Macaca mulatta: one gene and its partners. The protein of the gene in region 3 purifies or fractionates together with the protein of the main gene of each other region. This does not show direct contact. Links are inferred from orthologs where the notes say so. Each region holds a gene or a part of one and is shown on either strand. Other genes may lie near its edges. The genes, in order: PPME1, CDCA4, PPP2R2A and PPP2CB.

The links.
Region 1: the proteins of PPP2R2A (region 3) and PPME1 purify together in Homo sapiens (affinity purification with mass spectrometry; 3 studies listed by BioGRID and IntAct, with this or other methods). This does not show direct contact. The link is inferred for Macaca mulatta from reciprocal best matches to the Homo sapiens genes PPP2R2A and PPME1.
Region 2: the proteins of PPP2R2A (region 3) and CDCA4 purify together in Homo sapiens (affinity purification with mass spectrometry; 4 studies listed by BioGRID and IntAct, with this or other methods). This does not show direct contact. The link is inferred for Macaca mulatta from reciprocal best matches to the Homo sapiens genes PPP2R2A and CDCA4.
Region 4: the proteins of PPP2R2A (region 3) and PPP2CB purify together in Homo sapiens (affinity purification with mass spectrometry; 8 studies listed by BioGRID and IntAct, counting the BioPlex papers as one, with this or other methods). This does not show direct contact. The link is inferred for Macaca mulatta from reciprocal best matches to the Homo sapiens genes PPP2R2A and PPP2CB.

The regions. Positions count from the first base shown.
Region 1 is NC_133419.1:74,645,629-74,652,833, forward strand, and holds part of PPME1 (protein phosphatase methylesterase 1), read left to right. Parts: intron 1-2,149; coding exon 2,150-2,304; intron 2,305-2,810; coding exon 2,811-2,901; intron 2,902-7,205. UniProt on the Homo sapiens protein: Demethylates proteins that have been reversibly carboxymethylated. Demethylates PPP2CB (in vitro) and PPP2CA. Binding to PPP2CA displaces the manganese ion and inactivates the enzyme.
Region 2 is NC_133412.1:178,451,097-178,458,822, reverse strand, and holds the start of CDCA4 (cell division cycle-associated protein 4), read left to right. Parts: upstream 1-3,564; 5' UTR 3,565-4,149; coding exon 4,150-4,431; intron 4,432-7,726. UniProt on the Homo sapiens protein: May participate in the regulation of cell proliferation through the E2F/RB pathway. May be involved in molecular regulation of hematopoietic stem cells and progenitor cell lineage commitment and differentiation.
Region 3 is NC_133413.1:28,108,988-28,116,192, forward strand, and holds the end of PPP2R2A (serine/threonine-protein phosphatase 2A 55 kDa regulatory subunit B alpha isoform), read left to right. Parts: intron 1-117; coding exon 118-209; intron 210-3,719; coding exon 3,720-3,999; 3' UTR 4,000-4,720; downstream 4,721-7,205. UniProt on the Homo sapiens protein: Substrate-recognition subunit of protein phosphatase 2A (PP2A) that plays a key role in cell cycle by controlling mitosis entry and exit. Involved in chromosome clustering during late mitosis by mediating dephosphorylation of MKI67.
Region 4 is NC_133413.1:32,578,358-32,585,562, reverse strand, and holds part of PPP2CB (serine/threonine-protein phosphatase 2A catalytic subunit beta isoform), read left to right. Parts: intron 1-2,781; coding exon 2,782-2,871; intron 2,872-2,984; coding exon 2,985-3,146; intron 3,147-5,537; coding exon 5,538-5,656; intron 5,657-7,205.

The DNA of each region.
Region 1 (7,205 bases), on a different chromosome or scaffold from region 3:
GTGGCGCGATCTCGGCTCACTGCAAGCTCCGCCTCCCGGGTTCATGCCATTCTCCTGCCTCAGCCTCCGAGTAGTGGGGACTACAGGCGCCCGCCACCACGCCCGGCTAGTTTTTTGTATTTTTAGTAGAGACGGGGTTTCACCATGTTAGCCAGGATGGTCTCGATCTCCTGACCTTGTGATCCACCCGCCTCGGCCTCCCAAAGTGCTGAGATTACAGGCTTGAGCCACTGCACTGGGCCAAGACCACTTGTATCAAGTCTTTGTTCCTGATATTTTCCAGTGGCCTCTGGGCAAAGGCATTATAGTTTTGACTTCATGAAATTACTCTGAATTCACAATACCCTATGCCAAGGGGAGATGGCTTTACCATTTATACCTGAGGTTGCAATTTTTTGAATTTTTGCAATCAGAACTTGGTGATGACCTTGGGCAGTAGAATATAAATAACTCTCACATGCTTAGTGTTCCAATAGTGCATAAATTGGTTAACCCATTGAAACATTGAAAATATGTAATATGTAGTAAGAAAATGCAGCTCTTTTTACTTGGTAGAAATGCAATAATATATTTACTTGGTAGAAATGCAATAATATATTTATAGACCCAGTGAGATTAATTGATTAATACAGACCCTTCTAGACAGGGCTGCTGAGGGATTACATTAGGTGATGTTATAAGAAAGTTTTATAGCACAACTGAAAAAGAAGCACTGAATAAGTATTAGTTCTCTTTTCTTTCCTTCATATCATTTTGTCTCCCGGAGAGAATTTTGTGTTCGTATAGAAGCAGCACTAGTGTCAAAGAAGCTTGGACTTTTCATCTTAACTATTTGTTATCGCTTTGGATGACTGCCTGAACTGCTTCACTTTCTGTCTTAATCTTAAATTTAAGTCCGAAGGAATATTAAACCATTTGTTTTCACTTACAAAGTTTGGTGGCCTCCCTATCTCCCATTCAGATGGTCTACAATTGCCGAGGCTACCCTATTCACTCCTGCAATTGTTGTATGAGATTTTAAAAATCAATTCCTACAGAACTAATAACATTTGCCTTTGCCATTATGAATACTGTAGAGATTATATATGAAAGTCTGTGTTCCTTCATTGACACTTGCTATATTTGGTTAACACTGTGTGAGTGCGCTTAAGGTATGTAATGACGCTCAGCAAGACAAAACTTTCTTTTGAAGTTGAACCAGCCACTCCCAAAAGAAGGGAGTAGAACTAGCCTAAAATATATATATCTATAATAAGGCAGTAGAGCCAGTGGGTCTCCAGAAACACACCTTACTGTTCTTGTCCACCTATTGCTATAGCAAGGAAGGCCTACATGCAATTAAAAACCAAACTTCATACTTCAGTTCTAATTTTCAAAGCTTTAAAATTGGTCTTTGTCAAACAGATCCATTCATAATTGAAGACTAGAACCAAAGCCAATAAAATGAGCTCTGAACACCTTTCTAGTTTCTCAGAGCACTGTACTTACATTTATGTTGATCCTTCAAACAAATGAGAAATTGTAAATAATAATTAACATTTGTGAAGCATTTTACTCTTTCGAGGTGTTTTTTTGTTCACCTCTCAGTTAATCCTCAAAGCAATCCAGAGCAGTCAGTGATATTTTTCTCTTTTTTTATAAATGTTGAAACTCAGTTTCTGAGAGATTAAGTAACTAATCCAAGATCACATAGTGAAAAATAAACTGAGGCTGGGGCTCATCTTGTGATCTCGAGGTTTACTACATTATAATGCTTAATAAATTTTTTTTCTTGTTTTATAGATGGGAAAATTGAAACAGAGCAGTTAAATGATTTTTCCAGAGTTTGAATCTTAGGTTCAAAATAAAGGTATATGTTTACGTAATTGTACTACATATGTGGAACAGTGAAAGTGTGATGTAAAGGAAAATTCAGTAATTTGGGTTCTTAGTCCTTTACCTGCCATTTATCAGGAGAGCTAGGTGTGTGGCTACACATATTGATACTGGGGGCATGTTAGAAGGTTTACATAGGTATGTTTGTAAGATGGCCCAATAGACTTTTACAGTTTCCCAGAACTGTTACACACCAAAGGAAGGAACTGGGAAAGAAAACCGTTTTTATAGTGTTGTCCGAAAGCATTCTTATGTATTTTTCTTCTCTTTACAGAGATGTTGGCAATGTGGTTGAAGCCATGTATGGGGACCTTCCTCCTCCAATTATGCTGATTGGACATAGCATGGGTGGTGCTATTGCAGTCCACACAGCATCATCCAACCTGGTACCAAGCCTCTTGGGTCTGTGCATGATTGATGTTGTAGAAGGTGAGTTTTCTTAGCACGGACCAAATCAGGATTTCACTTAATAAGAGACATCCATGGTAGATTATTACCTTGTCTTAGTTTATTGTTGATTTCATTCACCTTGAAATATGTCCCTCTGTCTTTACATCCTTTTTAAGTTTATACAAGATAACCGTTTTTCCATGTCATCAGAAACTCTTCATTAACATATTTTTATGACTGCATACTATTTCAATCCTATGTATGTTCCATAATTGTATTTAATCATATAAAAAGAAGCTGCCATGTCTTTTCTGACCGAGCTTCAGAAGTCACACTGCTGCTTGTGAATATAAGTCATCCTCTTCAGTGTGAGGGCATGACATAAAGGAGTGAATACCCCAGAGGCAAAAATTATTGAGGGCCATGTTTATTTCTCTGCAAGCATCACTAAATTCTGCTGTCATCAAGAGCAGATATATAGTAATTGACTCAGTGAGTGTAAATGCTCAGAAAATATGTGGTTACAGTTTTTGTTTAACATCCAGGTACAGCTATGGATGCACTTAATAGCATGCAGAATTTCTTACGGGGTCGTCCTAAAACCTTCAAGTCTCTGGAGAATGCTATTGAATGGAGGTAACCAACAAATCTTTGTCACCTTTATTTAATTAATTTGTTTGTTTGCTTGCTTATTTACTTATTTATTTATTTATTTAGGAGACAAGGCCTCACTCTATCACCCAGGCTGGAGTGCAGTAGCATGATCCTAGCTCACTGCAACCTTGAACTCCTGGGTTCAAGCAATCCTCCCACCTCAGCCTCCCAATTTGCTAAGACTACAGGTGCACACCACCAAGCCTGGCTAATTTTTAAATTTTTTGTAGAAACGAGGTCTTGCTATGTTGCCCAGGCTGGCTTCAAGTAATCCTCTTGCTTTAGCCTGGCCTCAAGTAATCAAGTAATCAAATTCCTGGCCTCAAGTAATCCTCCTGCTTTAGCTTCCCAAAGTGTTGGGGTTACAGGCATGAGCCACAGTGCCCAGCCACTGTTGCCTTTATTCTAAATGTTAGATTGTAGCTTTTCTTCTTTTTTAGGTCAAGCGCCAAGTTCGAGGAATAGAATTTCAGTTGCCATGCTTTATTGTAATAACATATGAGGAAACATTATATAAACAGCAGAATTTTTTTGAATATTTAAAAATATTTTAGATTTGGCTCAGTTGTCTGAAGCCCATTCTTTTCCCAATACACTGTAGTGCCTCCTGGAATCTTAGTAATTATTGATCATCTGCTGGGTCTAGCTGTTTCTGCCTCTGAGGTGAGAGGTTAGACTAGGTGGTTTCTAAGGCCTCATCCACCTCTGACGCTCCATGGTTTTAGATTTACTTGCTGTGTTTCAGATAAAATGGTGGAGAAATGGAAGATGGCTATAGGTTCCATTCCCTCACGTTTATTTGGATTTTGGGTAAATAAACTCAATGGGTAGTTTTTATAAAAATCAGTGTCAGAATTCCATTTAAGCAAAGGAATGAATTTATTCATTAATTCAGTTAATCATTTGATAAAGTATTTATTAAACACTTATTTTGTGCTAACAGGTGAAGATTCAGAGAGGAATAAAACACTATCCCTTCCCACAAGGAGATCAGTCTTTGGATAAATGTCTTCATCATCCTATCTTCCTTCCTATTCTTCTAACTCTATCTCCAGTCCCTTCTTCAGAACATTTTCTCTTAAGTTCTCCAAACCACCCAGATGACTCTTTCAGCAAAATTACTAGAGACCTTTAAGTCTCTATTATATTGCACTGTATACCCTTAAGTTTTCCAATCCTCCCTTGAGGGATATGGCTCATATTAATTTTTATTAATGTCTGTCTTAATGCCCTTCCTGCATCATAAGGGAAGAAGCTATTCTGTATTTCTTTTTTACTTTCATATAGCATATGGCAGACTGCCCTAGCAGGCAGAATATATCTGTTAACTGAATCAGATATCAAGTGGAAATTTAGGACTTGGTAAATATATCCTAGGAGTTTTCCTAGGACAAAGGGTCTTATGCAAGAATATGGCTTGTCAGAATGATGTTTGTGTTTGGTGAAGTTGTTTTTACCACTTCCTGTTCACTACTGTGATGCAGGATTCCTGTTCTTGCGGAAATATCAAAGATCTCTCTATCTTGGGCAGACAGCATCAAGAATGTAGCTGCTGCCAGCTTGGCTTGTACCTCAGGTGCCCTGCCTGCTTCCACAATAACAACCAGTGAGAAAGTTATTCTAGAGTTGGCTCAGTTGTCTAAAGCCCATCTCTCTTTTATCCATACTTTTTTTTTTTTTTTTGAGACCGGGTGTCACTCTGTTGTCCAGGCTGGCGTCCTGTGGCGTGATTACAGCTCTCACTGCAGCCTTGACATTCTGGGCTCAAGCGATCCTCCTGCCTCAGCCACCCAAGTAGCTGGGACTACAGATGTGCACCACGACGCCCAGCTAATTTTTGTTTTTTGGGTTTTTTTTTTTTTTGTAGCAACAGGGTTTTATCATGTTGGCCAGGCTGGTCTTGAACTCCTGGACTCAAGCAGTCTGCCCGCCTGCCTCGGCCTCTCAAAGTCATGGGATTATAGGTATGAGCCACTGCATCTGGCCGTTTCCAAACTTTAAAATTTATTCGGTAAATTTTTTTTTCTAGTGCCTAAGATGTGTCAGTACCTGATCTAAGAACTGGGGGATGAATCAGGCTCAGTTCCTATCATCAAAAAACTGGGGATGCAAACAAGGAGATGGATAAACACAACACAACGAAGGAAGCCAGGGGATATAGAAGAAGGGTACCTCATGCAGCCTGGGTATCATGGTAGGCCTTCTCTTAAGGTAGAGTCTTGTTTCTTTTGCCAGATACAGGATAGCATAAGGGTTCTGTTTGTTAAATGTTAAGATACTGGGTTTCATGAGAGTCATTGATTTTTCTGAACCTGAAAATTGTTATACTATGAGGTATTTGGTAATTTTGTTTTTTATTCTGCTGGATATCTGAATCAGGTTTATGACCGATGGCCATTTTGGCTATTCCAGATTTTTTTTATGTTGCGATATAAAGCCAGTTAATTACTGCTTTTGCTCTCATAGGTTTCCTAATGAGAGGCAGCAGGGGTATAGTCATTAAGAACCTGGGCTTTAGGCCAGATGTGGTGGCTCACACCTGTACTCCCAGTGCTTTTGGAGGTTGAGATAGGAATATCACTTGAGGCCAGGAGTTTGAGACCAGCCTGGGCCATATAGTGAGACCCTGTCTCTACAAAAAAAAAAAAAAAAAAAAAATTTTTTTTTTAATTAGCCGGGTGTGGTGGCATGTGCCTGTAGTCCCAGCTACTCAGGAGGCTGAGGTGGGAGTATTATTTGAGCCCAGAAGTTCAAGGTTACAGTGAGCTATGATGATGGTACTGCACTTTAGCTTTAACAACAAAGTGAGACCTTGTCTTGAAACAAAACAAAAAAGTTAGGGGAAACCTGGGCTTTGAGGTCAGACAGATACAAATTTGCATCTTGGTTACACCACTCTGGCTGTTCTGAGGAAAATCGAATAGAAGAAGAAGTGGGGAATAAGGTATGAAGTTGGTTAGGAGACTGTTGTAGTATAGGAGAGTAAGAATGGTAAACATAGACTAGGATGGCAACAGAGGAAGAAAGAGTCATTTTTTAATGTATTTTCAAGGTAAAGCTGACAGGACTGGTTTATGGATTGGCTGTTGGGAGAGAGACGGGGGAGGGCAGGAAGGGACTTAAGGATGACTTCTAGGTTTTTAGCCCAAGCAATTGGATGAATGGTAGAAACAGAAAGAAGTAGATATGGGAGCAAATAAGGGGCAGATAATCAGTTTTGTTTGGATAAACTCAAATGCTTATTACATATGTAAGTGGAAATGTTAAGTAGGCAATTGTATATACTAGTTAGAAGATTAGAAGAGGCTGAACTAGAGATAAATTGGAGAATCGTCATCACATAGTTAATATTTAAAGGTGAAAGATTGAATGTGAAGACCTAGGAACTTGATATTGATAGGAAAAAGATCCCAGACTGAGTCTTGGGATATTCCACAATATTTAGAGCTTGGGAGGAAGAGGAAGATCCAACAAAGAAACTGAAGAGGCACAGTTGATGAGGTAAAAGGAAAACCAGGTGAGTATAGCAAGTGTTTGTAGAAGGAGGGAGAGAACAACTGTGTCAGATGCTGCAGAGAGATTAAGTAAGATGAGGACCAAGAAATGACTGTTGGAATTGGCATGATAGAAGTGACCTTGACAAAATAAATATCTGAAAATAAATGGGAGATAAAAATCAGATATAAGTTGGGGAAAGGATGAGAGGTGACAAAGTAGAGAAAGCAAGATAACTCTTTTGAGGAGCTTTGCTATGTAGGAGAGCAGAGAAATGGATTAATAGGTAGTAGTGAATGTGGCATTGGGAATGTTTTTAAAGGCTGGATAGTAGAGTATGGTTGTGATATCCACAAGAGAAAAAAAGTGACACAAAAGAGAGACAGGATAACTGAAGGAAACAGTATCTTTTCAGAGGCAAGAGGGGATGGGAACTAGTGCCCAAGGTTGGCCTTCATTGGAATAGAGATATTTCATGTATTAAACAGGCATCAAGGCAGAGTATATTATTATTGGTGAATCTGTTTATTCAGTTGGTAGTTAAAAGACGAGGTAATAGTTCTGATTGCCTCAGTTTACCATTAAAGTAAGAAATAATGTCATTATCTGAGGAGGGGGGCTTTAAAATTTTGAATGATTTTTTAAACTAAGAAATGAGATTTAAAGAAACACTTTCTCCTGGTGGCTTGCTTCAGGCAGTGTTTCCAGTTCCCCCTGGGAATGCAGTCATTTTGCTTTGCCCTAAGTTGTACTTAGGTGGACAAATGTGAGAAGCCTAATTTATTCAGATA
Region 2 (7,726 bases), on a different chromosome or scaffold from region 3:
AGATTTTTAATAGTATTTTGTAAGGTTTCAAAAATATCCTGGGATTTTGACTGGCAATAGAGTAAATGTGTATATTCATTTGGGAAGTAAATGAACTCTGGACTCAAGCTCAGTGACACATTTTCACCAGCAATACCACTATCTGTGACTCCAAGAGAACAACTGGAGTCTCCGCATGGCCTCTCCTGGCCCCTGCCTCATGCACCTCTTCCCTTGGTTAATTTTAATGAGCCTTTTCATGGTAATAAACCATAACCATGAGTACAATAGCTTCTAGGGAATTCTGTGAGTCCTTCTAGTGAATTTCAAACTTGAGGGTGGTCTTGGGGCTGTTCCTAACTTTGCACTTGTATATTTAGTTTGCTAAAGATTATACCATGAAGGGGTATTGAATTTTACTAGATGTTTCTACACTGAGATTTTCATACTTTTTTTCTCCTTAATTCTGTTATGAATCATGTTGACCTTGCAATGTGAAATCAACTGTACTCCAATTCCTGGAGTACACCCAACTTGGTTGTGATGAGCTACCTTTTTCACATTATCACTGGATCTGATTTGCTAATATGTGGTTTGCAATTTTGAACTGTGTTCATGAGAGAGAATAGCCTGTGTGTTTTCTCTCATCACGTCCCTTTCGAGTTTTAGTATCAAATTTGTTAGCCCTGTAGAACAAATTGGTAAGAAGAGTTCCCCTTTATCACCTGGAAGACTGTGTAAGACTGATGCTGCTTCTTCAATTTGAGTCTTTTTTTTTTTTTTTGAGACGGAGTCTTGCTCTGTCGCCCAGGTTGGAGTGCAGTGGCGCCATCTCAGTTCACTGCAAACTCCGCCTCCCGGGTTCACGCCATTCTCCTGCCTCAGCCTCCTGAGTAGCTGGGACTACAGTCGGCCGCCACTGCGCCCGGCTAATTTTTTTTTTATATTTTTAGTAGAGACGGGGTTTCACCGTGGTCTCGATCTCCTGACCTTGTGATCCGCCCACCTCAGCCTCTTAAAGTGCTGGGATTACAGGCGTGAGCCACCGCACCCGGCCTTTGAGTCTTTTTTTTAATGGATTCTAGTTCTCCTTGTCATCAATTTTCCTGAATACATTAGTGTTACTGAAAAATATGACTCCAATCCTGGTGTAACCATAGACGGCTTCTATGTTTTCTTTTTCTGGTCCTATGTCCTAGCAAGCCTGTTAATATTTTATGACTACAGTTAACGGTAACTTACTGCATATTTTCTAATAGGTAGAGGAGAGGATTTTGAATGTTCCCAACACAAAGAAATGATGTTTGAGGTGATGGATACGCTATCTACCTTGATGGATCATTATACTTTGTATATATATGTCGAAATATCACACCAAATCTCATCTTGAATTGTAGCTCCTATAACTCCCATGTCATGGGAGGGACCTGGCGGGAGGTAACTGAATCATGGGGCAGATCTTTCCTGTTCTGTTCTCTGGATAGTGAATACGTTTCCTGAGATCTGATGGTTTCATAAAGGGGAGATCCCTGCACAGACTTTCTTGCCTGCCGCCATGTGAGACGTCCCTTTGCTTTTCCTAGGTCTTCAGCCATGATTGTGAGTCCATTAAACCTCTTTTTCTTTATAAATTACCCAGCCTCGGGTATGTCTTTATTAGCAGCCTGAGAATAGACTAATATGCTCTGGAAGATATTATCTTACTCCAGACATTATTTTTAGATCTTTGCCAATTTGACCTGTGGCAAACGGCACTCCAGCACAGCTTTAATTTCCACTGCTCTTGTCTGCCCAGGCTGGAGTGCAGTGGTGCAATCATAGGTCACTGCAGCCTCCAACTCCCGGGTTCAAGGGATTCTCTCACCCCAGCCTCCTGAGTAGCTGGGATTACAGGTGGGTGCCACCATGTCCAAACCACTTTTCTTTGGTGATCTAGATTTCATTTGCAGAATATCTGTATATTAAGGAATTTAACCTTTATGTGGGATACAGCCAGGAAAACCTTTTTTCCCCATTAGTCTTTTCACTTTGATATGCATAAACTTTAAAGTCTCAGGTAGTCACCTTTGTCAAGTCCCATTTTCTTTTACCTGGAAAATAACCTAATAGGATTTTCTACTTCCAGCCTTCCTGCCGCCTCCTCCAAATCTTCTACCAACAGTGATTCTTGGTGGTTGTAGTGACTCATGCCTGTAATCCCAGAACTTGGGGAGGCCAAGGTAGTTGGAGCCAGGAGTTGGAGCCCAGCCTGTGTAACAAGGCAATACTCTGTCTCTACAAAATTACCAAAAAAAAAAAAAAAAAAAAAAAAGGTTAGCTTGGTGTGGTGGCACACACTTCTGTAGTCCCAGCTACGTGGGAAGCTGAGGCGTGAGGATCACTTGAGCACAAGAGTTCGAGGATACAGTGAGCCATTATCACGCCACTGTCCTCCAGCATGGGCGAAATAAACCCGTTTTTTTTTTAAATAAGAACAGTGATTCTTTTCAAGCATAATTCAGATCCCAGTTCCTTCTCTGCTGACCGTCCCAGTAGTCTCCATCCCACTCAGAGAACAGCCTCAAAATCACTCCACCTCTCACATTTAAACTTTCCCACGAGATCACAGGGTTCTTTTTCACTGCACTGAGACTTCTTCCTGCCCCTGCCTCGGGCTTTGTCCTAGCCATTCCTCTCCTGGAATACTCTTCCACTCTTCCTTTTGGTGCTTTAAGACGCCTCTTATCCTAGAGACCTATGTGAGCAGCGCCCCAACGTCACTCCCAGCTTTTTCCGACAGCATTTCAGCATTAACCACTGACCTTGGCGCATCCGCATCTGCGGATTCAGCTGAGGATTCCCCCACCACCAGCACAGGGTTCTCAGCTGCAGCCACGCCTGCCGGGCCTGCTGCAGGCGTTCAAAGAATATTAGACTCTTGTATCCTATTTAAAACCTTTTCCACTAAGAGATTTAAAACACGTGTTTCCCTGCTTTCTACTTTCACGTTACATTTCTTACGTGTAAACCTGGGAAGCCTCTAGAGATAACCGCGGTTTCTGGAGAGGCTGGGATAGACTTCGGAGCCCAGGCCGCCCGGGAACTGCCGTTCCCGGCTCCTCCCCACCCCGGCACGGATCCCTCGGCAGAGAAGTTAACCTAGGCAGAAGGGAGAGAGGATCAGCCCCTACCAGGCTGCCCCGCCACGCCCTCCCGAGGGCACCACGTGGGCCCCCAGCGCAGGCGCATTCAGTTTAGGACCCGACGTGCGGAGACCTGCGAGCCGGCGGGGCTGGGCGGGGCCGGATTGGGCGCGGGGAGACCTGGGAGCCGGCGCGGCGTGGGCGTCGCGGGGCCCGGCGCGGAGGCGGAGGCGGGGGCGGGGCGACCGAGGGCGCGCGCGAGCCCCAACGGCCGTCGCCGCAGCGCGGGAACACGCGCCGCAGATGCCCCGCCCGCGCGGGTTTGAACAAGAGGCCCCGCCCCCGGTCCGTGGGTGGCCAATCAGTGGGCACGGCGCGCGGAGGGCGCAGCGTCGACCCTTTGTGGACGCTGAGTGGCGGTCGCACGCCCCGCCCCGCGCCGGCGGGCGCTCCTCCCTCAGCGGCGGGAAGCTGGTGGCGGCGGCGGCGGCGGCGGTGGCGGCGGCTGAGCAGAGGAGCCGGCGGGCGGCCTCGCGGGTCAGGTGAGCGGGTCTGGCTGACCGCGAGGGCGTCTACGGCGGCGCGCGCGTTTGTGCTGCCGGGCGCGGAGGAGCCCGGGGGCGGTACGCGGAGTCTGTGGCTCCTGGCGCTGGCTTGGGTCCGGGGCGGAGGCGGCGCTCAGGGTTCCCGCTGGGGCTGCCGCGGGCGCCCTCGCCGCCCTCCTGGGCGCTGGTTCCACCGCGGGGTGGCCGCTGCTGAGGGGGCCCGGGGAACCAGAGGGGCCCGGGCCGCCGTCTGCGTTCCATGCGGATTGCGGAGCTGGGGCTTCGTCGAGGCCTCCGGGCGGCCCCACACGGGAGCGACTTCGCGAGGGCCCGGCTGGGGTACGCAGCGGCGTTTCCTGTACCTCGGCTCTAGTTGCCGCGGAGGGAACGCCGGGCGCGCCCCGCCACGGCCGCCCCCGCCCTGTCCCCGGCCGACCTCACTAACCGGGCCAGGGCGCGCTGCAGCCCCCTCAATTGGATCCCGGCCGCGGAGAGGGCCGAGGATGTGGGAGGAGGCCCAGACCCCGGGCGGGTCGGCCAGCGCCGTCTTTCCTGGGCTCCTCCGGCGTTCCGAGGTGGGATTAGGAAGAGTCCCCGAGACATTTGCAGAAGTCAGAGGCAAGCTTCCCTGCGCGTTTTCAAACGCTTCTCGTCCAGTAAACAGGATCGTCGTGACAAAGGCTCCTACAGCTTGCTGGAATAGAGGGTCTCCGCTGCCTCGCCTCTCCTGTGGCCTTCGTGTGGGACTCACGAGACGGCAGGACCCAGATAACCGTTCTCTCAAAGTGAGCCACAGAAAAACATCGCCTGTTCCCAAAACTTAGGTTTTATAAACTTTCTACGTACAACCACTCTATTTTCAAGTGTCACCATGTTTTATAATTAGGGTGGAAATCAACACAAAGTGAGTTACACCCTTTTTCTAGGAAGAGTGGTAGGCTTTATCTTAGAAAAGGGGCCAGGAAGTTTCCCTCAACTTGCCATTGGAACATGTTTTCAGGGAAAGGAAGGTGTATCGTTCCAAGTAACAAAAGTACCTGAAATTAGCTGGGCGCGGTAGCTCACACTTACCAGCACTTTGGGAGGAGGCCTAGGCGGGTGGATCACCTGAGGTCCCCAGTTCGAGACCAGCTGGCCAACATGGTGAAACCCCGTCTCTACTAAAAATACAAAAATTAGCTGGGCGTGATGGCGCATGCCTGTAATCGTAATCCTAGCTACACGGGAGGCTGAGGCAGAAGAATCACTTGAACCCGGAAGGCGGAGGTTCTCCAGCCTGGACGACAGAGCAAGACTCCGTCTCAAAAACAAAACAAAACAAAAATAACCCCTGAAATTAACGTATCAGTAATTGTTCAGGAACAGCCTCCAGCAGACTGTAGTGGAAGGTGGAGCTCCCACTCAGTAGATCTCAAGACTGAAGACCTTGCTCCTCTTCTTCCTGTTTTTCCGATAGAGTATTTCAAAGCTTATCTGATGTGTGAGAAATGGAAATTGTTGATAATTTGCTTAACCCGAAACTTCGAAGTGGCTGCAAGTCCAGCTGTGAAGGTGACAGGTTAGGTCAGAGTTGAGTCTGTCCCCAGCAGTCCCAGCCCTATTGGTCAGAATCTGGGAATCTGCATTTTCAGCCAGCCTCATGGGATTGCTCAGCCACGAAGGTGTGGCGGCTGCTGCTGTAGTGAAGGGCCGGTCCCTCAGCTGTACTCTGCTTGCCTGAGTAGCACTGCGGGGCTGCTCTCTGCTGGCCTCTGCCTCCGTGGGCTTAGTTTACTCTGTCCCTAGTGGCCTGTAGGCTGTCCCACCTGCCATGTCAGACATATCTTCAGTCTGTCTGACCCTCTTGGTTTTTCTCTTTCTGGTTGATGCTTGGTTTAGAAGCCTAAGGGCGGTGCTGGGAGTTGACTGAGGGGTGAACGCCTTGGCTGTCCCGTTGACACCCTGTGGAGTTGGTGGGATTTTAGGCATTTAACTAGATGTGTAGAAGGAGCTTCAAAACTGAGCAGGGGGTCAGGCATGGTGGCTCACACTTGTAATCCAACACTTTGGGAGGCTGAGGTGGTCGGATTGCCTGAGGTCAGGAGTTGGAGATCAGCCTGGACAACATGGTGAAACCCCGTCTCTGCAAAAAATACAAAAATTAGCCAGGTGTGGTGCCACGTGCCTGTAGTCCCAGCTACTCAGGAGGCTGAGGCAGGAGAATCGCTTGAACCTGGGAGGTGGAGGTTGCAGTGAACTGAGATTGCATCACTGCACTCCAGCCTGGGGGACAGAATGAGACTCCTTCTTAAAAAAAAAAAAAATTGAGCAGGGAGCTAGGCTCCACAGCCCCGCCCGTATGGTATAGGGCCCTTCCTTCCATATTAGAAGGAGTTAAGCAGCCTCAGGCCAGAGTCACACTGGAGGCCCTCAGGGAGCTGGGCCCAGCCCAGGCATCCCTCAGGGCTGGTCAAGATGATGCTCTTGGTGACTTTGTCCCAAACACAGATATGGCCCAATTCAGGGTGATCCTCACAGGCCAGCTTCTCCGGGCCCAACCTTATCCTCTTCACCCCTGAACGCACGTTGTGGGTGACAGCTCTTAGGGGTCACGCGACTGTAAAAAACACCTGTGAGCTTTACTCCTTTTTGTATTAATAGTAATAAACTTGTTAGCATTTTAAAATATTGGGTACAACACAGAATTAGCTGCTGGAGATTTGGAACATTGGACAGCAATGATTTGAAGTGACTGAACAGGAATATTCTCATGGTACCAGAATGGGATCTGTGGATGGGATGAGATGCAGTGGAGGATGATGGAGATTCTCTCTCGTCCCTTGTAGGACTTATATAACCCAGGCACATCTACGCAGGTCCCTGGGTTACGCAAGTGCTACAAGGGGCGAGAGAATCTCCATCATTCTGGAGGATTCCCTCTGGCCCCTTGTAGCATTTCCCACCCGGATGGTGGCTACCCTTCTGTGTTTTCACAACTTCCATTAACTTTGCCTGTCCTGAAGGTTCGGATCAATAGAATCCTACAGTACGTATTTTTGTGTGTGTCTTGCTGCTTTTATTCAGCATAATGTTTTGAAATTTATCCATGTTGCATAAATCATTGAGGTTTGTTGCTGAGTTGCATTCCTTTGTCAGAATACGCCAGATCGTGTGCATTCAACTTATTTTAAGTGTTTTTTTTTTTTTTGAGATGGAGTCTCACTCTGTCGCCCAGGCTGGAGTGCAGTGGCGCGATCTCTGCTCACTGCAACCTCCGCCTTCCGGGTTCAAGCGATTCTCCTGCCTCAGCCTCCTGAGTAGCTGGGACTACAGGCATGTGCCACCCCACCCAGCTAATTTTTTGTATTTTTAGTAGAGACAGGGTTTCATCGTGTTGACCAGGATGGTCTCAATCTACTGATCTTGTGATCTGCCCACCTTAGCCTCCCAAAGTGCTGAGATTACAGGCGTGAGCCACTGTGCCCGGCCTGTTTAAGTCTTAAAAGAATGCTTGTGGCTGGGTGTGATGGCTCATGCCTGTAATCCCAGCACTTTGGGAGGCTGAGGTGGGCGAATCACTTGAGGTCAGGAGTTCGAGACCAGCCTGGCCAACATGGCGAAACCCCGTCTCTATTAAAATGCAAAATTAGCTGGGCGTGGTGGTGCACACCTTATAATCCTAGCTACTTGGGAAGTTGAGGCAGGAGAATTGCTTGAACCCGGGAGGTGGAGGTTGCAGTGAGCTGAGATGGCACCACTGCACTCCAGCCCAGGCGACAGAGTGAGACTCCGTCTTTTAAAAAAAAAAAAAAAAAAGAATGCTTACAACTGAGAGAGATGAAACTAGGCCAAGGACCGCCACCCCTCCCCAGGAGCCTCTCTGGAGGCTCACACCTGCTGGTCCTGCCCTTGAATAGACAGAAAAAAATGTTCCCTGTTTTCTGAATTTCCTTTCAGTGTGATAGATCTCACTGACTGTGCATTTAACACTCCTAAATTTTATAAAACGGTTATTTCTTGGGCATTTTTCCAAGAGAAATGAAAAACCAATGTTCATGCAAAAACATGTTCTAGAGTGTCCTTAGTAGCTTTATGTGTAAT
Region 3 (7,205 bases):
ATAGGTTTAAAAGGTTTGTTTGTGTGTCTGTATATGCCCATTTTTTCTTTTTAAAAAGACGGACTTGTTAAATCATTTTCCTAATTTCAGTGTAGTATATTTGTATTTTTTCCCCAGGTGCATGAATACCTCAGAAGTAAACTCTGTTCACTGTATGAAAATGACTGCATATTTGACAAATTTGAATGTTGTTGGAATGGATCTGACAGGTAATTGATTTTAAGTCAAACCTCTCAAATATGAATTTTATAAAGAAAAGAAACTTAATTATTTCATTCCAGGTCCTAACTTCATTTGTCTCTAGGGATTCCTTGAAATACATTTACTAATCTTAGATATAGCACGGCAGTACTGGCAGATAAAAATTAAGCATTGTATTTCACTATTAAATATAAAAGTACACAAATTCTAGGTAATCTAAATTATTTAAACGTCTAGAATTTTTTTTCTTACATGAACCAGATCACATTTCTGACATGCTAACCATTAAAACCGTGAAGCTTCAGCTTGGTTGTTATTCTGCCATTAAACTGTTTTAGAAACATTCGGGCGGCAGATAATTCATTTGAATTGTTAGAGACACCAGGTTTTCCAGATGCTACATTAACACCTCATAGAAGTGGTCTTTCATATGTATGTTATGTATGATGTTAACCATAATATATATGGTTAAAATATTAGGAGTAGTTTTCCTTTGCTTTTTGTAATTTCCAGTTTTGCTGTAGTGTAATTCCTTTTTAGTATACATTTTTAGTAAAATGTTACCGTTATTTAAAGATAAAGTAAGTCTTTGAGTCTTTTAGTTGTCTATTTGCCACTATGTTCCAGTAGAACATAAAGTAGTAAAACATAATTTTTGGAATTAAACTGACATTTAAAGTAATTAGAGATGCTTTAGCAACAGTTTTATCACAGAGCTTAATATGATTCCGATTTCATGGTGTTACGTGTTACAAAGGATAATAGAACTTACAGAATGTCTTTCTTTCGTCTGGCTTTTAAAATTACCTGATTTTTGACATGATGAGAGGACTAGTAAACTATTACTACTAGTAAACTAGTAGAGCTCTATTGGTAGCAAACATTGCCTTTGAGTGCCACTACTAAACCTGAGGCATCAAGAAAGAAGGAAAGGGAAGAAGAAAGAAGGAAAAGGAAGAAGAAAAAAAAAACATTAACAAATTTGAAGAGTAAAGAGATACTGAACTAGGGTGTGGCACACAGCTACAACTAGTTCTTCCTTGTATTGTTTAAGCAGATTATTAGCAGTTGTATGTTCTATTATCAGAAAGAAACTATTTGTTTTCCTTAATATTAAAAAATTTTTTTAAATTATTTCAAACTTGGAGAAAATTTGTTAGAATAACACAAAGAACTCTTGGCCAGCCTTGACCCAAGTTCCACTGTTGCTGTTTGCTGTATCACGTGGTCTATCCTCTGTTTGTTTATAGCTATATTTGTCCACATAGGTACATGCGCACGTGCTCACACACACAACTTGTGTGCTACATGGGAAAATACCCCGTTTACTCTAGATGTGATGCCCATAACCCTAAATTCTTGAATGAGTATTTCCTGACAAAAACACTTCCCAACATAGTGCAGCATCCAAAGCAACATTCACAGCGATGCAGTACTGCCCTCTAATCCGCAGACCCACTAAAACTCACCAGTTACTGTAACTGTGTCTTTTATGGCACAGAACAAAGTCAGTCTGGTTCAGTATCCAACATTTAGTTGTCATCTCTTGTTAGGCTCCTTTATTCTGAAACAGTTCCTCAGTCTCTCCTTGTCTTTTGTGATCTTGGCATTTTGAAGAACACAGGCCAATTATTTTACAGAATGTTTCCTCGTTATTAGATTCAGGCTATACATTTTTGGCAGGAATACCACAGAAATGCTGACCTAATGATACCTTTTTAAAGTTTCAAATAGCCACAGACTAAATGTCCTAACCCATTAAAACACACAGATGATATGGGGATGTCAATCTAAATTACATGAGCCATTTTTAAAGAAATACAGTTTTATCATGTTCAGGGGCATGCATTACCTTGAGTTTGATTAAAGTTGTCGTCAAGTGTTCTTTGGGAATTGACGTTACTAAATAGATAATCATTTGTACTCAGTAGGTGGCCTTTGTATGTAAGTATTACTTTGAACAATTCCCCAGTATCCTGTAATCCTTATTTACAATAATAATTTGAACCATGTGATAAGCAGTGGTAGCAGACCCTTTCCAAATTATTAAGAGCTTCAAACTTAGGAAGTTTTGTTTGTGAGGATACTTAATAAATGTCGAGCAGTAATGGCTGGCAAATAGAACTGACAGGGAAGTGTCTTGGGCAGCTTAAAAATTTTGCCACCCCTTTAAACTGATACTTCTACAAATATTTGCTTAAAATGTTTTTAGTGGTGAAAGTAAAATGATGTTCTGTTAATAAAATATTACAGCCTGGGCAATGTAGCAAGACCCTATCTCTACAAATTATTTAAAAATTATCTGGACATGGCAGCGTATGCCTGTAGTCACAGCTACTCAGGAGACTAAAGTGCAAGGACTGCTTAGCCCAGGAGGTCTAGGTTGTGGTTGCGGTGAGCTGTGATTGTGCCACCACATTCCAAACTGGGTGACAGAGTGAAACCCTGTCTCAAAAAATATATATATATATATACACACACACACACACACACACATATTATGTACCACTTCTCAGGAGCAGATTATAAGCCTTTATTAAATGTGATTATCTGAACCAGACAACACCCTGAGAAGATAATTGTTTATTTATTTATTTACTTATTTATTTATGAGACAGTGTCTCACTCTCACCCAGGCTGGAGTGCAGTGGTGCGATCTTGGCTCACTGCATCTCCGCCTCCCAGGTTCAAACGATTCCCCGGCCTCAGCCTCCTGAGTAGCTGGGACTACAGGCACGTGCCACCACGCCTGGCTAATTTTTGTATTTTTTTGTCGTCGTCGTTTTGTTTTGAGATGGAGTCTTACTCTGTCGCCCAGGCTGGAGTGCAGTGGTGAGATCTCGGCTCACTGCAAGCTCTGCCTCCCGGGTTCATGCCATTCTCCTGCCTCAGCCTCCCGAGTAGTTGGGACTACAGGCACCCGCCACCACGCCCAGCTACTTTTTTTGTATTTTTAGTAGAGGCAGGGTTTCACTGTGTTAGCCAGGATGGTCTCAATCTCCTGACCTCGTGATCCGCCGGCCTCGGCCTCCCAAAGTGCTGGGATTACAGGCATGAGCCACCGTGCCTGACCCAAAAAATGTAAATCATAAGATAAAGCATTGGTTTCTTGTGAACAGCTACAGCTACTTCATGCGGGGTTCTTTCATTTTAGAACCTGTGAGTTCCACGGATAGTTGCTCCTTTGAGAAGCTGCCTGACCTGGTTGATCACATAACCTGTAGTTGCAAAACTATTCAACAAAGATAATTCTGCACTACTAAGAAGTTTTACTTGAGGATGCTGTCAACTTCGGTGATAGTTTTGGTAGCCATGAAAAGGAATAATAAGCAGAAAACTCAGTTAATTAGTACCATATTTTGGTTTATTCCGGTGATTGAGTTGATGTCAACAGCCCTGTCCCTTACTTTAAATCTGCTTGAAGTAGCTGTTTCCTATGGTTTAATCACTGAATCATTTTACTTAAAAACAATTTCTTGTTCTGCTTGTTTGACTGAGTGTACTGTCTATTTTCACAGCGTTGTCATGACTGGATCTTACAATAATTTCTTCAGAATGTTTGACAGAAACACAAAGCGAGACATAACCCTAGAAGCATCGCGGGAAAACAATAAGCCTCGCACGGTTCTGAAGCCTCGCAAAGTCTGTGCAAGTGGCAAGCGAAAGAAAGATGAAATAAGTGTTGACAGCCTAGACTTCAATAAGAAAATCCTTCACACAGCCTGGCACCCCAAGGAAAATATCATTGCCGTAGCTACTACAAACAATCTGTATATATTTCAAGACAAAGTGAATTAGGGTTGGCATTCCTAGCAGAAGAACCCACTTCCTGCTTAGTTGAGATAGTTGAATCTAGCATTCGTTCCTATAAAAGAGAGAGGTCCATTGTGGCGCCCCTTTCCAGTGTTTGACAGTGTGCCATTCGACAACACATTGTTATAGCTACATGGAGAAAGCTCTGTGGATTCATCACTGTGGTGTTCTCCATGTCTGCTAGCCATTTAGGTAAGGGTAGGGCACTTTTAATTTAAATGACTTCTTGCACCATCTTGCCTAATGGACTAGATTGGACTGTATCAACATTGATTTACTCCACTTTTTATGCCTTCCATTGTGATGACGTCAAACACAGTGAAAGCCTTCAGTCATGCTATGGGATTTAATTGTGTATCCTCATTACTGTATCATTTGTGGGGTACACCCCTTCCCCCTTTTTTTAAATTAAATACAGCTCATTCTTACTGTGGCTTGTAGCATTCCTCCTCTTCTGGCCTCCTGGACTCCTCCCCTTCATCTCTCTTACCCTTGCCCCCTCCACCCGGTCTTGGTGGTGGTATATTAAAAAAAGAAAGAATGAAAGCACACAAAATGAGTCAGTTTGGGGTCAGTGGTATAAAGGGGGTATATGTTGCGAACAAATGTTTTAATAACAGTTGGCTGTAATCACTCCTCGCCGTGTCTGGCACTGAAAATAAGGAAAAAAAAAACCTACTACTGAATAAAAGTGACAAAGAATGGAGAATCTGGTTTTCTTTTTCTTTTTAACCTACCTCTTGTAGCCAATATTTTGTGTCATACCTTTGGGCACAGTGAAACAAAATGGGTTTTCATTGTTTTATTGGTATTTTTGTTAATTATTTTTAACAAGTGTTCTTTTACATGCAGGAGGAGAGGTATTGGTTCTCTATGAACATGTTTTGAATATATATTGGTTTTATTAAGGATTTCACAATCTATAAATGCTACTAGTTGTTTTTTTTCTATTTACCGTCATCATGAGGGTATTGGATACGTTGTATCTCTATTTAACTCATTATCTGTTAATGAAATTGTTGTAAATGGGAACCAAATTTGTAGAACTTAATTTCTACTTTTTACAGTGCTTAATTTCATTTTTGCCTTACTAGTCAAAGACTTATACAACATTTTTAACAAGTTAGAACTTTTTTTGTCATTCAGTCATATAAAATAGCAGAAAACTAACATCAAGTGACGACAATGCACTAAATACTTTTTTTGTATTTTACTGCTATCAAATCAGAATGAAATATACTTTACCATAGATATTTTTCTTCTATTTTTGGTTTTCCAAAGCTATATTAAAGACAAATTTTTAAAGGTACAGCATTCAAAAAGTGCTTAATGAACTCCAACAGCTGCCTCAAAAATCTGTATATGAGTACATTTTCCCTAAGCAGTGATACATTATCCAAAGATGAAGAGTGCTCCTATTTTTAATAGGTAGAATGTACCTTTGTCAGTCTTGCAGAAGCTTTAATGGAGAAGAAATGGACTTTATTTTTGAAAGGTGAAATGAACAGGCATTTATATTATTAGAGAATGGTAGTTTTATTTTGGTTGAACGTAATGTAACAACCTTGAATTTCAGAGGACTCTGAGTGCTTCTATGTCCACTACCTATTGTTCTATTCTTCAGTAATGAAAAAGAATTCAACGAGCCGACCGTGATTCCCTCTATTACAAATATTATGTCTTGTAAGTTAGCATTTTTAGCACACAGGAGAAATTTTATGTAATAAAATTACTGTATCTCTTGGATTTAACAAATTTGTATTTGAACACATTCTATGTCTGATAATTCTTAATGGCACTTTTACTAATTTATTTGGGGATCTTGGGTACATTCTTAATTTGTGTTATTTATTCTTCACACTTGACTTGGAAGTGGGATATTCCCCTGTCACAAGTGTCCGACAGTGATAGACTTCCTGTGTTGTGACTGGACAGTTTTCCAGATCTTTTTTGGGAGATTTTCCTACAGTTTGGTTGTATGTCTTGAGATAACACCACTAAACAGCTCTCAAATTCTTTTTTGATTGATCAGTAGCTATGATGATTCTCCTCCATGACACTAAGGATTAGTTTATATATTTAAGAGAAATAATTGCTAAAATTAAAATGCCTCTATCAAGGAATGCTATTATAAATTATTGTTAACATTCTCAAGTATTAATTTTTTAATCTCATTGGTGTAGCAAACTCTAAGCCCAGCCACTCATTTTACATGGCCATGGTTAATCTTTTTATTAATAAAAATTATACTTAGAATAAACTTAGTCTTGTCAAGTTGCTTGTATTTCCTATTCTCTTGCCACTAATACATGCACATACTCCATCTCTTAACCTTTTAGAAGAGATTGTGGTAGGAAAAGGACTTTCATTCTATTAACCTCTTTCGATCTTTACTTAGTGGCTGGGCAAGAAGAAGAATTATTTTATAAACCTATCTAAATACATGTTTATGCAACCATTAACTGCTGGATGGTAAGCTTCTGTGCAGCCCTCTGTCTCTTGGGATTTAAGAAAAAAAAAAAAAAAATGCGTCCAGTCTGGCGCGGTGGCTCACGCCTGTAATCCCAACACTTTGGGAGGCCAAGGTGGGTGAATCACCTAAGGTCAGGAGTTCGAGACCAGCCTGGCCAACATGGTGAAACCCTGTCTCTACTAAAAATATAAAAAATCAGCCAGATGGTAGCACGTGTCTAATCCCAGCTACTCCGGAAGGTGAGGCAGGAGAATTGGCTTGAACCCGGGAGGCGGAGGTTACAGTGAGCCGGGATTGCGCGACTGCACTCCAGCCTGGGCGACACAACAAGACACCGTCTCAAAAATACATCCATGCACTCTTTTCAAAATGAAGAGAATTTTAAAGCCTTAAATGTGAGTTATGCTGGTTAGAGAAATGTCTACAGAAAGCCAGAGATAGGAAAGCAGCTTCTTTGATTCAGTGTGTGACTATTTTTTGAGTAAGGTGTTAAGAAATTGCACATAGGAAAGCTATGCAGTACTGATAAAGAATTTTTAGTGATACTTAAACCCTTCTAAGGGAATATTGCTTGAGCATCTTTACCACACATAAATTCAAATGTAGATAGTATTGTGCACTTCCAGAAGAACAAACCCATCTCCCCCTGCCCAAAAGATGGAAAAGATAGGCATATGCAGTGTAGTCAAGAATCAAGTCAGTTTACTTGTGCATTTGA
Region 4 (7,205 bases), about 4.5 Mb from region 3:
GTACTTTGGGATGCCAAGGCAAGAGGATCGCTTGAGTTCAGGGGTTCAAGACCAGCCTGGGCAATGTAGTGAGACCCTGTCTCTACAAAAAAAAATTTAAAATTAGCTAGGCATAGTGGCGCATGCTTGTGGTTCTAGCTACTCAAGAAGCTAGAGGTGAGAGGATCTCTTGAGCCCAGGAAGTTAAGGCTGCAGTGAGCCGTGATCACAGTACTGTGCTCCAGCCTGGGCAGCAGCAAAACTCCATCTCAAAGAACAAAAAAAGAAAATAGAAGCAAATGCTATTTCTGCAGTGCAGACAGATCATGAAACATTCAAAAGTATAAGAAGAAATTATGCAAATTTCCTATTTCAATTTCTAGAGATAATCACTGAAAGCATGAACTGATTTAAATTTAAATATAAAACAAAGGCTGGGCAAGGTGGCTCATACCTATAATCCCAGCACTTTGGGAGGCCGAGGTGGGTAGATCACCTGAGGTTGGGAGTTCAAGACCAGCCTGGCCAAATGGTGAAACCCGTCTCTACTAAAAATACAAAAATTAGCCAGGGATGGTAGTGCATGCCTGTAGTCCCAGCTACTTGAGAGGCTGAGGCAGGAGAATCACTTGAACCTGAGAAAGACAGAGGTGGCAGTGAACCGAGATCGTATCACAGCACTCCAGCTTGGGTGACAAAGTGAGACTCCATCTCAAAAAATAAAATAAATATAAATATAAAACATATAATAAAACTCCATAATTCTTAAATTATAAAAGCCCAGAGTTGTCAAGAATGTGATGAATTCTCTCTTAGACTGCTTGTGGGAATATAATTTGGTTATAACTTTCTCTGTGTAATCCTGACAGTCTTTTTTTCTCAGCTGTGATTTTGGACACTGCCATGATTAATTTGAAAGGACAATACTTTGCCTGGACTTGTTAAAAGAAAATGTGAATTTAAAAGATGTTAAATTTTAATTAAAGTTGTTTTTAATTGTTTTGAAGCACACAGTCCTCAATAATAAAATTGCTGGACAGAATGATTTTTAAAAGACAGTCTTATCAGTTTTAATGAAGTATCTGGTTTTTTAAATGGGTGCGTTAGTAGAGCTTTTATTTTTTTTTTCCTTCCTCCTTCCTCTCTTTCTGAAAAGTTACTAGAAAAGAAATAATAGTGGACAATACTGATCTAGAAGAAAAGAGGGAAGGCACATAAAACACTAGGAATGAAATAAGGCGTAATTATAACTGTGCAGGAGCTTGTGTATCACAAGAACAGGTGCAGCTTTAGTGCACTAAATTTAAAAAGTTGAATGAAGCTTACTATATTAAAATACCAGTTATTAAAATTGGCTTGCAGAAGTTCGTCCAATATAAGTAAACTACCAATAGCAACCAGGTATAAATAGTTTTATAGGCTAATTCTACCACACCTTTAAGGAACGTATAATTTCTGTGTTCTAGAACTTGGGAAAAGATGGAGAGTTCAAAACTGACACCATATGCCTAGTATAACCTCAGTGCCAAACCAGACGTGGCATGCACAGAAAAATAGACCAAAATCATTTGGAAAAAAAATTCCTATATTTGTGATTCAAAACTCAGTTATTTTATAAAATAATAATATTAAGTGGATAAAGAAATACTGGTTGTACTATCAGCTAAACATTAGAAACCTTCTCATCAGGCCAGGTGAGGTAGCTCACGCCTGTAATCCCAGCACTTTGGGACGCCAGGGCGGATGGATCACCTGAGGTCGGGAGTTCAAGACCAGCCTGACCAACATGGAGAAATTCCGTCTCTACTAAAAATACAAAGCCAGGCATGGTGGCACATGCCTGTAAACCCAGCTACTCGGGAGGGTCAGGCAGGAGAATCACTTGAACCCAGAAGGTGGAGGTTGCAGTGAGCCGAGATCATGCCATTGCACTGGGCAACAAGAGCAAAACTCCGTCTCAAAAAAAAAAATCAAAATCAGAAAGAAAATGCTTGTTAAAACTTATATTATTCTCTCTGATTCAGAATACCTAGAGCATGGATTTGAAACTAGGTAGTTTACAAAAAACAAAACAGAAACATTTGTATTACTCCATTTTATTTTAGAAGTCCTGGCCAATGCACTAAGCAATAAAAAGAATTAAAAGGTGTAAACATTGAGAAGAAAAACCAAAAATATTTTTGCAGATGACTTGATCATGTACTTAGAAAATATGAAAGAACTGAAAATTTATTGTAGCCAGTAACAGGAATTTGTTGTAAGAGGAACAAAAAATTGTGTATATCAGCAATAACCAACAGAAGCTGTAATGACAACTGGGTACAGTGGCATGCACCTGTAATCGCAGCTTCTCAGGAGGTTGAGGCGGGAGGATTGCTTGGGCCCAGGAGTTCATGGCTGCATTGCATAGTGATCATGCCTGTGAATAGCCACCGCACTCCATCCTCAGCAACACAGCAAGACTCCATCTCTACAGAAAGAGAAGAAAGGAGGGAAGGAGGAAGGGAGAAAAAAAAAAAAGAAATTTAATGGTAGGTCCCAAGGATGGAGATACCATTGGCCAGAGAAAAGGAAGGGAGGAACGGTGGGAGGGAGGGAAAAAAAAAAAAAGAAATTTAATGGTGGGTCCCCAAGGTTGGGGATACCATTGACCAGAGAAGGGGTAAAAAAGAAAAAAAGATGAACAAAATGTGTTTAAATGTTGGCATTATTTGGACTGACACTTTTAACCATTATTTACTCTTTGTTAACTGTTAGCAGTTAGTAAAACAAATACATTCTCTTTTGTTAATTCATAAACAGATATTCTGCCTCCATGGTGGCCTCTCTCCATCCATAGACACACTGGATCATATAAGAGCCCTGGATCGCTTACAGGAAGTTCCACATGAGGTAACCTTAGTTTAAAAAAGAAGAAGAAAGGAAAAGAAAATATAACCACATTTTGAGGACGATAAAGTATGACTGATAATAATTTGTAACATGTACTTATTTTTCTTGGTCAGGGCCCAATGTGTGATCTGTTATGGTCAGATCCAGATGATCGTGGTGGATGGGGTATTTCACCACGTGGTGCTGGCTACACATTTGGACAAGACATTTCTGAAACCTTTAACCACGCCAATGGTCTCACACTGGTTTCTCGTGCCCACCAGCTTGTAATGGAGGTATGTACTTTCCTTACAGAATGATCTTTATTTCAGATTAGCATATACTTCTGTAATAAGGCATTTTGACTTAACTAAGAAACACTCCTCACCATTTATTACCTAGGTGAAAAGAGGAAAAACTTGCTGGTTTTAGCAAGTAGGGAAAGCACTAGTAGACCGGAGCAGAATTATAACTCATTTTTGAAATTGAGACTTAGAAAAAAGTTACAAAAATAATACCCCAGAATTCCCTGTATGAGTCATTCAAATTCCTGACTGTAAATGTTTTACTATATTTGCTTTATCATTTTGTGTCTCCCTTCCTCTTCACCCCCCACACTTTCTTCTGAACCATTTGAAATCTATTGCAGACAAATACTCCTTTACTACCAACTTTCTATGTGTATTTTGTAAAATTAAGGACACGCTATCACATAACCACCGTATAGTTACCACAGTTGCGAAATTTGTGTTCATATAGTACTATTATTTAATATGAACACTTTATTCAAATTTTACTAATTGTCTCACTAATGTCTTTTATAGCAAAATTTAATTTTGTGCATACTGTATGTGTATAATCTAATCCAAAGATTAGGTTGTGTTCATTCTTCTTTGATGTGGAAATCCTCCGATTTTCTTTGTTTTCCACATTCTTGACATTTTGGAAGAGTAGGAGCATTTTATCTTACAGAAATATCCCTCAGTTGGGGTTTGATGTTTTCCTTGCAGTTAGGGATTCACTGTATGCATTTTTGGCAGTCATGCCGTAGAAAGATGGTGTGTCCTCCTCCGTGCATTTTATCAAGTGGTCCTAAAATCTGCTTGTCTCAATGCTGGTGGTGGCAACTTTAATCACTTAGTTAAGATGATGTCTGCCAGATTTCTCCACTATAATGTTAACTGTTTTACAACTACTAAGGGAATATAAACAACATAATCCCTCCAGACCAGTAGGGAGTGGCTTCAAGATGTTAGAGAAAACTTCACCAGCCCAGTAGAGACAAGGGAGCATGATAAAAAAACACAAATTTATATAGAAAAAATAAATTTAATTATATCAGTGATTATAAGAAACAGACTAAAATTTTAGCCTGAGACTCTTAGATTGGATAAATAGTCAAAATGTAGCTGTTATTTGGGATGTACCTAAAACATAAATGACTGGCTGGACAAAGTGGCTCATGCCTGTAATCCCAGCACTTTGGGAGGCTGAGGTGGGAGGATCTCTTGAGTCCTGGAGTTTCAGACCACCTTGGGCAACATAGTGAGACCTCATCTCTATAAAAAAAAAAAAAAGTCAAAAAATTAGCTGGGCATGGTGGCATATGTCTATTGTCCCAGCTACTCGGGAGGCTGAGGTGAGAGGATAACTTGAAGCCAGGAGGTTGAGGCTGCAGTGAGCTGTGATCATACCACTGCACTCCAGCCTGGGCAAAAGAGTGAGACCTTCTCTCAAAAAAAAGAGGGGGGAAAAAAAAAAAAAAGACACTACAAACTAGAGGTAAGAGTTGGGAAATGGTATATTGGTATATCAAGTAATAAAAATATCAAAAATATAGCTAATAGGCTGGCGCGGTGGCTCGTGCCTGTATTCCCAGCACTTTGGGAGGCTGAGGCAGGCGGATTGCTGGAGCTCAGGAGTTCAAGACCAGCCTGGGCAACATAGTGAGATCCCGTCTCTACTAAAATACAAAAAAATAGACTGGTGTGGTGGCGTGCACCTGTTGTCCCAGCTACTCAGGGGGCTGAGGCAGGAGAATTGCTTGAACCCAGGAGGCGGAGGTTGCAGTGAGCCTAGATCATGTTACTGCACTCCAGCCTGAGCAACACGTGTGTGTGTGTGTATGTGTATACATATACACATACATGTATATGTATACACACACGTAACACTAATTAGCATGTATATATATACACACTATATCTAATACTAATTATAGCCAATAATATGAATGAGATAGGCTCAAATAAAAGGTGTTGTTAGAAATAAAGAGGTTATTGATGAAATCTGTCCCAGTTCTCTAGGAAGAAAGTATTCTAAATTTGTATTTACGTAGTAATAGCTTCAAAATATATAAAGAATAATTGGCATAATTCATGAGGGAAAATTGAGAGATTTATTAGGATTGTGGGAGAAATTCAGTACACATCCTTGCCAAGATTTCAAGCATAGTTAAGGCAAAACAACAATTAGCGAGCTGCATTTAACAGAATCCTAGGCCCACGAATTGCACAGGGTTCTGTACAGGTACACAAACTATCAAAGATGGCAACCTTATAAAGTAATATAGACGACTACATTTCCACAGAGAGTGCCTGTAGTTTTTGAGTTTAGTTTTTTTTTAATGTATCTGTGTCAAAATCATATTATTATAATGAAATATTGAATTTGTTTTTATCCTGCAGGGATACAATTGGTGTCATGATCGGAATGTGGTTACTATTTTCAGTGCACCCAATTACTGTTACCGTTGTGGGAACCAGGCTGCTATCATGGAATTAGATGACACTTTAAAATATTCCTTGTGAGTAACTGTAAATTTTAATTGTATATACTTACTTTCAGAAGGAAAATTTTAAATGTTAAAAATAGAAGATTTGTGTTTCTGAAATAGTGGGATGAGGAGTATAGCAAAGCCCCCAACCAGCAAAAACCACCATTAGCTGGAGAACATTACTTTTAAAAAATAATTTTTCAAAGCTTTTGGAAATTCTCCTAAGGGCATACAGCAGATGGATAAACAGTTAATTCAAGAAAACCTACTAAATCTCAATAATAGCCGTTGTCTGTGGCATTTGAGCTATGACTTGCTCCCTCCAACTCCTTCCAGATCCCTCTCACAGAAACGACTACAGGCGCTGTAGTCTGGGTTGGTACAGTCAGGAGGCCAAGGGATTCCCCCTTTTTACCAGCTCCCAGGGTTGGGACTGTGGTTTCACTCGCAGAGGTCAGATGCCAGCATATCTCACCTCTCCTAGTCTGGAGTTACAGAAGCTCTACTCTTGGTGGACGCAGTCAAGCAGGCTGAGGCCCCCTTCCCTGTCCCAGCTCCTGGGGCAGAAGCTCTGCTCCAAGCATGCATAGCAGATGAGAATGCTGGGTTTCCCAATGCTCTTACCCCAGCACCTGCTTGTAAACCAGGTGGTATCACTGAGCCCGCACTGGCACAGAAGTTCTGCAGGAGGAAAGGCAGGTCACAGAAATTCCTCAGTTCTTCCTCAGTGGACTTACCTTACTTAGGTGATGGAGATTTCCAAATCTGAGTGCTTTGTGGAAAACAGTGGATGTCATGATGGAGACCAATTAAGAGGGCTGTAATAGCTCCCATGATACTAGGAGCAACATACAAAAGAGCAGAGCAATAGGTTGTTCAACAAATAGCACCAGGGAAAAAGCCAAGAAGAGCCCTTCTGGGATCACAGTCAGCCCTGGGGGACAAGGCTGTGCACATGCACCAGCCATACCCACTCAGGAGCAGTCAGAGTAGGATGTGGGGTATTCAGATAATATTTTCAGGCCACACATAGATTGTACTGAGTTGAATAGTGTCCCCCCCGCCCCCGCAAATAATGCATGTCCACCCAGAACCTCAAAATGTGATGTTATTTGGAAATAGGATCTTTGCAGATATAATTATTACAGATGAAATTGTATTGGATTAGGGTGGGCCTAAATCCAATTCAAACGGGATTTTAGTAAGAGGAAAAGAAACACACACACGGGAGAATGCTGTGTGAAGCCAGAGATTTGAGTGATTCATCTACCAGCCAAGGATTGCCAGAGCCATCAGAAGCTAGGGAGAGGCTAGGAAGGATTTTTTCTAGAGTCTTCAGAGAGAGTGTGGTCCTGCCAGCACCTTGGTTTCAGACGTGTAGCCTCCAGAACCTCCAGAACTCTGAGAGGATAAATCCCTGTTGTATAAGCTGTACAGTTTGGTAATTTGTTACGGCAGCCCCAGGAAACGGATAAGTGGATTGATCAACAAATGGTGTAACCGTCACTGGTATATGAGGCTTAAACACAACCTCTAATCATTGACTGAACATTCAGTTACTCTGACCCAGGAGCACCTC